2 linked regions of the Rattus norvegicus genome follow. The protein of the gene in region 2 purifies or fractionates together with the protein of the main gene of each other region. This does not show direct contact. Links are inferred from orthologs where the notes say so. Each region holds a gene or a part of one and is shown on either strand. Other genes may lie near its edges.

Evidence for each region. The genes of interacting proteins can lie anywhere in the genome.
Region 1: the proteins of Cd44 (region 2) and Erbb2 purify together in Homo sapiens (affinity purification with western blotting; 3 studies listed by BioGRID and IntAct, with this or other methods). This does not show direct contact. The link is inferred for Rattus norvegicus from reciprocal best matches to the Homo sapiens genes CD44 and ERBB2.

The regions. Positions count from the first base shown.
Region 1 is NC_086028.1:83,916,808-83,922,009, forward strand, and holds part of Erbb2 (receptor tyrosine-protein kinase erbB-2 precursor), read left to right. Parts: coding exon 1-2; intron 3-324; coding exon 325-393; intron 394-558; coding exon 559-674; intron 675-802; coding exon 803-944; intron 945-1,089; exon of another isoform or gene 1,090-1,196; intron 1,197-2,648; coding exon 2,649-2,768; intron 2,769-2,983; coding exon 2,984-3,110; intron 3,111-5,202. UniProt on the Homo sapiens protein: Protein tyrosine kinase that is part of several cell surface receptor complexes, but that apparently needs a coreceptor for ligand binding. Essential component of a neuregulin-receptor complex, although neuregulins do not interact with it alone.
Region 2 is NC_086021.1:109,628,993-109,634,194, forward strand, and holds part of Cd44 (CD44 antigen precursor), read right to left. Parts: intron 4,679-5,202; coding exon 4,577-4,678; intron 2,920-4,576; coding exon 2,830-2,919; intron 1,919-2,829; coding exon 1,721-1,918; intron 1-1,720. UniProt on the Homo sapiens protein: Cell-surface receptor that plays a role in cell-cell interactions, cell adhesion and migration, helping them to sense and respond to changes in the tissue microenvironment.

The DNA.
Region 1 (5,202 bases), on a different chromosome or scaffold from region 2:
CTGTAAGCCGTGTCCACGTGACCCAGACTCTTATCATATGGCCCGTCTCAGCCACCCACCCCCCTTTCCTGTCCTTGCTCTGGTCACAGGGTCATCTCCCTACCAATAGGCAGGACCTTCACCTCCTGAGGCCCCTTACGGTGCTGCCCTTGGGCCCTGCTCACATGTTCCTCCCACCATTCACTCCTCTCTGCCTCCCTCTCAGCCTCCTTTTCTCTCCCTGCTTCCCTCCTTCGCTGCCTTTCTCCCTTCAGCTCCCTCCCTGCCTCCACCCCGTTTCCCTGCCTTCCTCCCTGACTGTCTCCCTTTTGCTTCTGTCCACAGGTCCACCTTGTGCCCCCGCCTGCAAAGACAATCACTGTTGGGGTGAGAGTCCGGAAGACTGTCAGATCTGTGAGTCGGAGGGAGCCCTGGTGTCTGGGGCTGGGGCTGGGGCAGGTGGATGGCTGGGAGTAGCGGACTGACTTACTTGGGAGATGTCTCCCAGAAGGCCGTGATGCTAAGGGTCTGGTGCCGTCCAGGCCCTACCCAGCTCTCACCCAGTCCTTCCACCAACAGTGACTGGCACCATCTGTACCAGTGGTTGTGCCCGGTGCAAGGGCCGGCTGCCCACTGACTGCTGCCATGAGCAGTGTGCCGCAGGCTGCACGGGCCCCAAGCATTCTGACTGCCTGGTACGTGTGCGTGCCCTGGGCCAACCCTCCAGAACGCAAGGGGTGGGCATCTTTCCCGGCCCTGCCCGGATGCCACTGGCGCACAGGTGGAAACATCCCAGTGACCACCAGCGGCCTGTCTCTGCCAGGCCTGCCTCCACTTCAATCATAGTGGTATCTGTGAGCTGCACTGCCCAGCCCTCGTCACCTACAACACAGACACCTTTGAGTCCATGCACAACCCTGAGGGTCGCTACACCTTTGGTGCCAGCTGCGTGACCACCTGCCCCTGTGAGTACTGGGAAGAAAAACATCCTTTCAATGCCGTGGCTAGGGACGGTGGCTTGTATAAGAGGGAGCCTGTTGTGAGTAACCTGTGCCCCTTGGAGGGCTGGTCATGACTCTCAAGGCTGGGTGTCTTACCCTTTTTCTCTTTCCAAATATGGAACACTTCTCGAATTTGTGTGTCGCCCTTGCGCAGGGGCCATGCTAATCTTCTCCGTGTTGTTCCCGTTGTAGTACGTGTGCTGCCGAAGCGAGAGCCTTACTCTTTTGTTTTTAAAAAAAGTATTTCATTTATATTTATTTTATGTCGAGTGTGTGTTTTGCCTGTGTGTATGTCTACGCCTTGTGCCTGCGTTGCCCATGGAGGTCGGAAGAGAGGGAATCCGATCTCTTGGACCTGGAGTTACAGGTGGCTGTGAGCCACCATGTGGGGTGCTGAGAACTGACCCTGGGCCTAAAGAGGCGGCCCCTTTCACCATCTCTTTAGCTCTCGAATTTGTTGTTTGTTGATTTTAGTTTTGTTTTGTCTTAGACAGAGTCTCACTGTGTAGTCCTGGCTGTCCTAAAACTTACTGAGTATAGCAGGCTGGCCTCAAATCCATAGAGAGCCTCCTGTCTCTGCCTTGCCCGTCTCCCCCAATCCCTTTTAAGTCGGGATCCCGTGTAGCTTAGCCTGGCTTGCCTTGAACTTACTGCATAGCCGAGGATGACACTGAACTTCTGATCCTCCCGCCTTGCTCCTGCCAAGGGCTGAGATTACAGATGTATGCTGCCACTCCTAGGTTTTTACCTCATCTGTTTAACAGCTACATAACAGGAGGCAGCGAAAGTTGGGACCTGGAGTGCTAGATTTGAAACCTGTCCCCTACTGTCTTACTGCTTTCCACTTCCTCAGTTTCTTTATCTGTAAAATAGGGGCACTATTTGTCCAGTCCTAATAATTGTGTAACGTCTGAATGAGTTTGGTTCTTTTTTTCGGAGCTGGGGACCGAACCCAGGGCCTTGCGCTTCCTAGGCAAGCGCTCTGCCACTGAGCCAAATCCCCAACCCCACGTCTGAATGAGTTAATATTGGTGAATCTTCGAGAGCAATGCCTAGGCTGGACTAAATACTCTTTTAAATGTGTCTTGTTCCTCCGTCTGCATAGAGTAGGCTTCGTGTGGCAGTGACCCTAAGCACTGTGGACCTTAGGGACTGGACTTGGACCTGGGGACCTTCTTTTCCTTCCTATTATGGGAGGTGGGGTGGGGCCTTTAGGGTCTGGCTACGCTTCTCTTTGGTCAAGGTGAGAGGACAAAGTGGAGAGGTGGTCAGATTGTTTGGTCCAAGTCCATGTTCCTGGGTGACACAAACCTGTCACCCTGACACTTGGAAGGTAGAGGTAGTAGGCTTAGGGTTCCAAAATCATCTTCAGCTGCATGGTGAGGACTCCTTAAAGAAAAAAAAAAATCCCAGTTCTGTTACTTAGTAGCACAACGATAGGAGTGGCTTGTATAGCTCTGCGTCCTGATTTCCCTTTTTGCAAAGTGCAAATAACAGCTGTTGGCATAATGCATAGTAAGGAGCAAATGGTTGTCGAGTTCACATGCACAGGGAGGGCCTTCCAGTATTGGTGGGTAGTGTTCTTAGAACTGGGCGTCGCAGCCTCGATCGTGATTGGCTGGACAGAGGCTAGGCCACAAATGGACGTGTATCCCCAAATCTGTACAGACAACTACCTGTCTACGGAAGTGGGATCCTGCACTCTGGTGTGTCCCCCGAATAACCAAGAGGTCACAGCTGAGGACGGAACACAGCGTTGTGAGAAATGCAGCAAGCCCTGTGCTCGAGGTACCCAGCCCCATTCCAAGACCAGCCTGGTCCACCCAGCTCTCGCCTAGACTCCCGTCTCCTGCTATCATCACTTGTCCCTCTCCAGATCAGCCTCCTGGGTTTCTCTTTGTCAGCATAGGGAAGAGGCTTGTCACTTCAGGAGGGGACAGCAGACAGGTGTCTTGTGTGCCATGTGGTGCTGAGGTGGCCCCTTTCACCACCCTTTCCTTCAGTGTGCTATGGTCTGGGCATGGAGCACCTTCGAGGGGCGAGGGCCATCACCAGTGACAATGTCCAGGAGTTTGATGGCTGCAAGAAGATCTTTGGGAGCCTGGCATTTTTGCCGGAGAGCTTTGATGGGTAAGGGTACGAAGCGGCCTGAGGTGGTGCCAGGGAGGACCAGAGTTTGAGGCCAAGAATCCACATCAGGCAGGTGGGAGACCCGAGGGGGTCAGGGACATGGGGTTGGAGGTCACTTGTATAAATATCATTTAATCCATAGTCATGGACATACTGTGGTGATCAAACCATCCAGAGGGGACATTGTTTACATTGCGTGTGTTCCTCCAGGCTTTCTGTATGTTGGACACAGGGTGACAGCTTAGACTGGGGAAGGTAGCTCATGGAAACTGCCATGTACCCCTCATTTTGGGGAATTGCTCATGACGGCTTTTGTTGGGGTGCCTCTTTTTTGTTTTTTGTTTTGCTTTGTTTTGTTTTAAATATCTGGATTTGTACCATCTTTTTTTTAAAGATTTATACATTTATTATATATGAGTACACTGCAACTGTCTCCAGACACATCAGAAGATGGCATCAGATCCCATTACAGATGGTTGTGAGCCACCATGTGATTGCTGGGATTTGAACTCAGGACCTCTAGAAGAGCAGTTTTAAACACTGAGTCATCTCTCCAGCTCACTTTTTTTTTTTAAATTTATGCTCATTGGTGTTTTATCTGTATGTTTGTCTGTGCGAGGGTGTCAGAAGCCCTGGGACTGGAGTTAGAGACAGTTGTGAGCTACCATGTGGGTGCTGGGAATTGAACCCGGATCCTCTGAAAGAGATGCCAATACTCTTATCTGCCGAGCCATCTCTCCAGACCTCAAGCTGACTCAATCTTACAATAGCTGCAGAACGGGAGGCAGCAAAGACAAGCGACAGAGCCCAGGCTTGAGTTTGAAACCCACCTTAGTCTGTCAGTCTGTCTGTCTCTGTCTATCTGTTGTTCTCTCTCTTTCTGTATCTGTGCCTGTGTCTGTGTGTCTATTTGACTGTTATTTTCTCTGTGTATCTGTGTCTATCTGTTATTTTCTCTCTCTTTCTGTCTCTGTATCTGTGTGTCTGTCTGTGTGTCTTTCTTATCTGTCTGTTATTCTCTCTGTATCTGTGTCTATGTGTCTGTCTGTCTATCTGACTGTTATTCTCTCTTTTTCTGTGTCTCTGTCTGTGTGTCTGTCTGTGTTCAAAGGACAGTCTAGGTGTGACTCCCTCAGGAGCCATCCACCTTGTTTTTCAAAATAGGGTCCCTCTCAGGCCTGGAGCTCACTAAAACAGGCTACAGCCATGACCAGGGAACATGAGGAATTGATTTTACATCTCTAGTGCTGGGATCACAAGCTCAGCATCACACATGAGCTGCTGCTGCTGCTTTCTTCTTCCTCTTCCTCTTCCTCCTCCTCTCCCTCTTCCTCTTCCTCTACTTCTTCCTCCTGCACTTCCTCCTCCTACTCCACTTCCTCCTCCTACTCCACTTCTTCCTCCTCCACTTCCTCCTCCTACTCCACTTCTTCCTCCTCCACTTCCTCCTCCTACTCCACTTCTTCCTCCTCCACTTCCTCCTCCTACTCCACTTCCTCCTCCTACTCCACTTCCTCCTCCTACTCCACTTCTTCCTCCTCCACTTCCTCCTCCTACTCCACTTCTTCCTCCTCCACTTCCTCCTCCTACTCCACTTCTTCCTCCTCCACTTCCTCCTCCTCCTCCACTTCCTCCTCCTACTCCACTTCTTCCTCCTCCTACTCCACTTCCTCCTCCTCCACTTCCTCCTCCTACTCCACTTCCTCCTCCTCCTGACAGGGTTTCTCTGTGTAGCCCTGGAACTCACTCAGTAGACCAGGCTGGCCTCAAACTTGAAGATCTGCCTGCCGCTGTGGATGCTGTGGTTCCGGGGTATGGAACGCAGGTCCTCAGGCTCGTGGGGCTGAGCCCTACTGCTTAGCCTCATTGCCTCCTCCTCTCTTTCCTACGCCTCAGTGCCTCCCGTGTAAAGGGAGGACCGGCATGGCTCTGTGCTCAAGGTGGTTAGAGTCAGATAGAAAGTTAATAGTTGGGACAGGCGCCTGACGGATGCTGAGCGCCCCCTGTGTTCGTATTTTAGAATCTGCGGGGATCAGGGTTTTATGTTAACAGCACCCTGTTCAGATGTCGTTCCTACAAACAGTTCAGGTTG
Region 2 (5,202 bases):
CTTTGGAGACCACTTTATTACAGAGAGATCCCTTGGAGAAGGGTTGTAATAACAGACCACACAGTACTTGATGAAATACCACACCAAGAGTCCCACCACCAAAATCACCATTTCCAAAGCCATCACCTTCACCTGGCCCATCACCACAACTGCCATTGCATGTTTCAGTGCTTTACATTCAGTGTGCAGAAATATTTATGATTCAAAAATCACAGTTTGAGATTCTTCTGGATTAAAACTGGGGATGAGAATCAGACCATTTACTAATCATTGACTTCACGAAGAACTGAAGGATGGCCCTGGGCACCATTGCCCTTTGTTACATTGATCAGATGGGATCAGCACATGGGAGTACTAATTTGATAGTAAGTGTTTTAGTTGCTAGTAATTAGATTCTGCAAACCACCTAAGAAACTATATCTAAGATTGTCATTTTTTTTTTTTTTTTGGAGCTGGGGACTGAACCCAGGACCTTGCAAAGATTGTCATTTTAAATACAAATCTATTAAGTAGCATGGAACAGCCATTTTAGCATGAGGACGTTTGTGGCGCTCCTTTGATTCATTCTGCATGAACCTAACAATAGCACTTGGAGGTTTTAATGAGGAAAAGAAGATTGTCAATAAGGACAATAACCAAAAGCCTTCAGAGTGTAAGGGGGTTTGGTCTTGCCAATACTGCTGAGGTTGCTTTTTTTAAAGTACCTTTTCTTGAAGCCCTAGAGTGGGAAGCCAGAGGGAATGTGCCAAGTGTACAACACCCTGGATTTTCCCTTGCTCTGTCAATCAGAACATCACTATTTCCATCTGCTTTGCATATGAGAGTCCCATGAGATCATTTTCTTATCTTTGTCTTTTGGGAGAGTGAAGGAGGTAGGCTCTTTCTACAAATTAGGTGTATGTGCATGTGTATACATATTTATATTTAAACTTATTCATCTTTATTGTGTCAGTGATTGAATGGTAGGAAGTACCCAGATTACAGGAACTAGTGGAAAGAGGTGTCTATTTTTTTAGCCACAGAGATCCCTTTCAGATTTTCCTTCCTATAATGTTATTTCTTAACACAAACAAAGAAATAAAGAAGAGAAGTAGAGAGGATTTCTTACTTGAGATAAAAGTTTCATTCTGGGTCCATGTCAGACTTAATTGAGTAAATCATATCTTACTATTACAATTAAAAACTGAGGGTCCAGTTCATGAATAGTAAATCATAAATTTTGAAGCATGCCACAAATAGAAAAGGTTTATATATCTACCCATCACCAAAACTAAAACCAATCAGTCCATCACCAATTAAAGGTAATTTCAGAACAAAGGTACCCGTATATGAAAATTATCTGAATGTTTAGTAAAGTGCTGCTAAAAGGCAGACTATATTATCTGAATCAAATGAAATTGCTAATATTCAACTATTTCCCTCCATCAAAATATGTTTCACATGGTTCAAGTTAATATATCATAGAATGAAGAAAAGACAAAGCAAGAACATCTACCATATGAAATCACAAAAGAAAGGATGCTACACCAGGAAATGGAAGCATATTTTATCTCAAATAAATCCAAGTTTGCTGACACTATAATTGATGACCAATGATGAAAACCATCCCCATGGCACAAAGTAATTTAATCACAGCCTGCACAGAAAATATCCCCTACAATAGGAAAAATATATGTTGTTTCTCCAGAGAAGCAAGCCAGATGACATATGGCTAAATTACCTGGTAAGGAGCCATCCACATTAAAGTTGGAGTCAGTAGCAACAGTCCCTTCAGTTTCTCCAAAGACCTCAGTCTTAGCAGGGGTCACTGGGAAGAGAGTCCCGTTTTCCATTGTGTCTGGATATTGAGGGGTGTAGCCTTCCAGTGAAGTAGTTGTATCTCTGGGAAGACTTCCACCTCTTCTTGCACCACTCTTAGCTGCATGGAGGTGGAGTCAATGATAAGCCCACACCTGGAAGGTCACCACCCACTGGGCACTTGTCATCAGAAGGTAAAGTTGCCGAGACATCTTTCTACTTGTTCTCCAAGGCCAAAAGCAAATGGTACCAAGCAAAAGCAATGTTTTGCAAGGCACCAGCCAGATAGCACTCAACAGGAGAGATTTTGGTGACTACATACTACACAGAAGAGGCACTTCTTACAAGGTTTGTCTGAGTCATCAAGGGTGTGTGGTTATCCTATTGTGACCTTGAATTCACCTCAGCTATTAGAGGATTTTGACCTTTTTGTCTCAATTGGATTGACCTCTGAGGAAGGGGTATAAAAACAAACCATTGGATGGAAAGATGAGACCATTCTTCCTGCAACTGGAATAGTAAGCTCAAATCCAAAAGACCTGGGTCTACTGCCTTAAATTTCTTTTCTGTGCTAAGAGGACATTCTTCGTAGTCACCAATACCACAGAGCTGTGGTCCAGAAACAAACCAGAAAAAATAATTAGTTCAAAGGCTATCAAAGAAATCTTACAGAAACAATCATTATTAAACCAAGTTACTAATCTAATACCTTTAAAATTCAGCAGAAAAGTTTGTACCTAATGTATGATGGCTTCTAAAATGTCTATAAAGCAGAAGAATCAGAGACCACCACCAGACATAACTTTTGATCAAAAATAATGTATAAAAGCAGGCAAGAGGTGTATCACCATCAAAGATAAAACAAAAGTATCACCACCAAAGGGTCTACAAAGTACCACTACCAAAGATACCACTAAGTACCACCACCAAAGATCTAAAGATACTGCACAAGGACCACCACCAAAGATACCACAAAGTACCCATAACATCTTGATTTCTGCTTAAAAGCCAGTTGTACTTTATGATCCTTACTGCTAGATGGCAGAACAGAAGTTGTTGGATGGTCTTCGCCTTCTTCCAGCTCTCCAGGTAATGTAGAGAAGTTCTGAGAATGACTCTGTGCTGTTTCAATGAGGGATGAAGCCATTGTTAATTGGAAACCATAACACATGGTTTTACATGGACGGTCTAGCTACAGAATATCAAATGGACACATACAATGGGAGAATGATATGTGTGCCTTTCATCATCTGCTGATTGATGCAAAGATACAGAAAGATTATATTTTGTCCCTAGTTAGCTTCTTTGCCCTTCGGTGAAGTTCCAATCTGAAGCTCAAGCCCAAATATGGCCCTCCCTAGACTACCTTGACCCAGCTGCAGCAAGGATCCCAGAAACAAAGATCACAGAGACGTGGAAATGGGGGCTGTGATTTCAGTTTTCCCTCAACCATAAAGATTGCCTAGAAGTTAGATTATAAGGAAAATGTTGCTATGTAGTGTCTGTGGACACAAAAGAAAAAGCTCATCTCTATCAATGAACTTAGAGTAACTTTATGAGGAAATACATGATTCCCTTGTAGAGAGCATTGCATTTGAGTTACTACTTTTTTAGTAGGGCTGTGGTCTCCCCTGTAGCAGGGATTCTCTTCACTGCCTTGAGTAAATGCTTCCCTGGGCAAACACAGGGCCTTCAGTGAAATGGATTAAATTGAGATTGAATCACTGCCCATATCTGAAATCACTTTGACTATTTTGAGTTATTTTCTTTTGTGTTCTTCCAAGAAAGACACTGACCTCTGAAGTGCAGGTGCAAAAGTCGCATAAAACACACCCATCAGCCATGTCCACCACCAAACAAATATAACCAGGAGAGAGACATTCACTGAATCCCAAAGCCAACATCAGAAAAAAGCCAACAGTAACACAAAATGGAAATACAAGTCATGAATTGGCAAGGGCCATTTATAGACTTCTTTATGCCTCCTTTGATGCCTAACACAGTGCTATTTACATTGATGACAATCAACACATGCCTGCTGGCAGTTTTCCTACACCTAAAGGGCTCCTATAAAGGGCTCTGGCCATTATGTGTAGCAAGCAGTGAAATGAGGTCTTCTTAATTTGGGATTTCTTTGATATTCTGCCAAGAATTTATGAATGGCTTCAGGTTGGTCTTTATAGATTCGTATAAATATGTTGAAAATTAAGGGTACTAAAATGTTCCTATTTCTTCCTAGCAGGCGTTTAGTGATAGAAAAAGATGTTAGCAAATGGTTCTTTTTGACTCCAGCAACTCCTCCACCTTGGTCAATTATCAACAACATGCCTCACCCCTCCTCTGAAGGTTAAACTCGATTTCCCTATTCACTATAATGATCTGGCCCTCATATGTCTTTACACAACCACGAAAGCAGCATCTCTTCTACCTGGCCTGGAAGAAGGGTGGGAATCAAAAAGAATCAGTTAAAGCATTGAGACGCCACTCTACCAGTGATGGTCTTCAGTGTCACATGACTAGTTAGAGATGGAAAATGGAGATGAATGACATTTCCATGTGGTCATTGACTCCAGAGTGGATCTTAGATGAAAATTCATTCGGGTTATAAGATACTGTGCAAGAAAGGCCAACAATGAAACAGACTCAGACTCTGGCTGAGTTAAGCCACCTAGCAAAGACTGCCACCATTCCACCACCAAATGCAACATCTTGACCAATATGAGCAAGATGTGAAGTAGATAGACAGGTCAACAAAAGGGCTATGTGTCATTATCCTTACGAGTTGTCACTGAAAGTGGTCCTGTCCTGTTCAAGTCTTCCACCAAATGGGTATTTGGAGCCGCAGTAGGCTGAAGGGTTGTACTATGACTGGAGTCTGTATCTGAAGGAATCAAATTGATGTTATTGCCATATTCCCTATGCTGGGAAACGACCTGAGTCATTTAGCCAAGTAATGTTTGCATTTAGCCTGGTGAGAGGAAAGAACAGGTTCACATGTCCAGAATTGGGATAAATGATTGTTTCTTCAAGAATATCACAGGATATAAGTGGTTTTCATTTCAGGGCAGAGTTAGCTGAAAGCTATCACATTTATTTGTTGGTTTCTTTTGCTTAGTCTGAAAGGAAGTTAAATGAACACACAGCGGGGCTCATGGTCTTCACAAAGGGACAGAAATATAACCCATGTTTCTAAGATAGACAAGTATAGTCAGACATGGAACTGAATAACACGCACAAGCATCATTTTGTCATCTCCTGCTCACCAGGCCAAACGAAACAAAACAACAACAATAAAAAGTTTTCAAATAGACAGTGCCTTCCCTTTTGTCTCTTTTGTTTTTATTTCACAAAATAAACACAGAAAATACATATACACATTACCCAATATATCTAGGTGGAGACAAC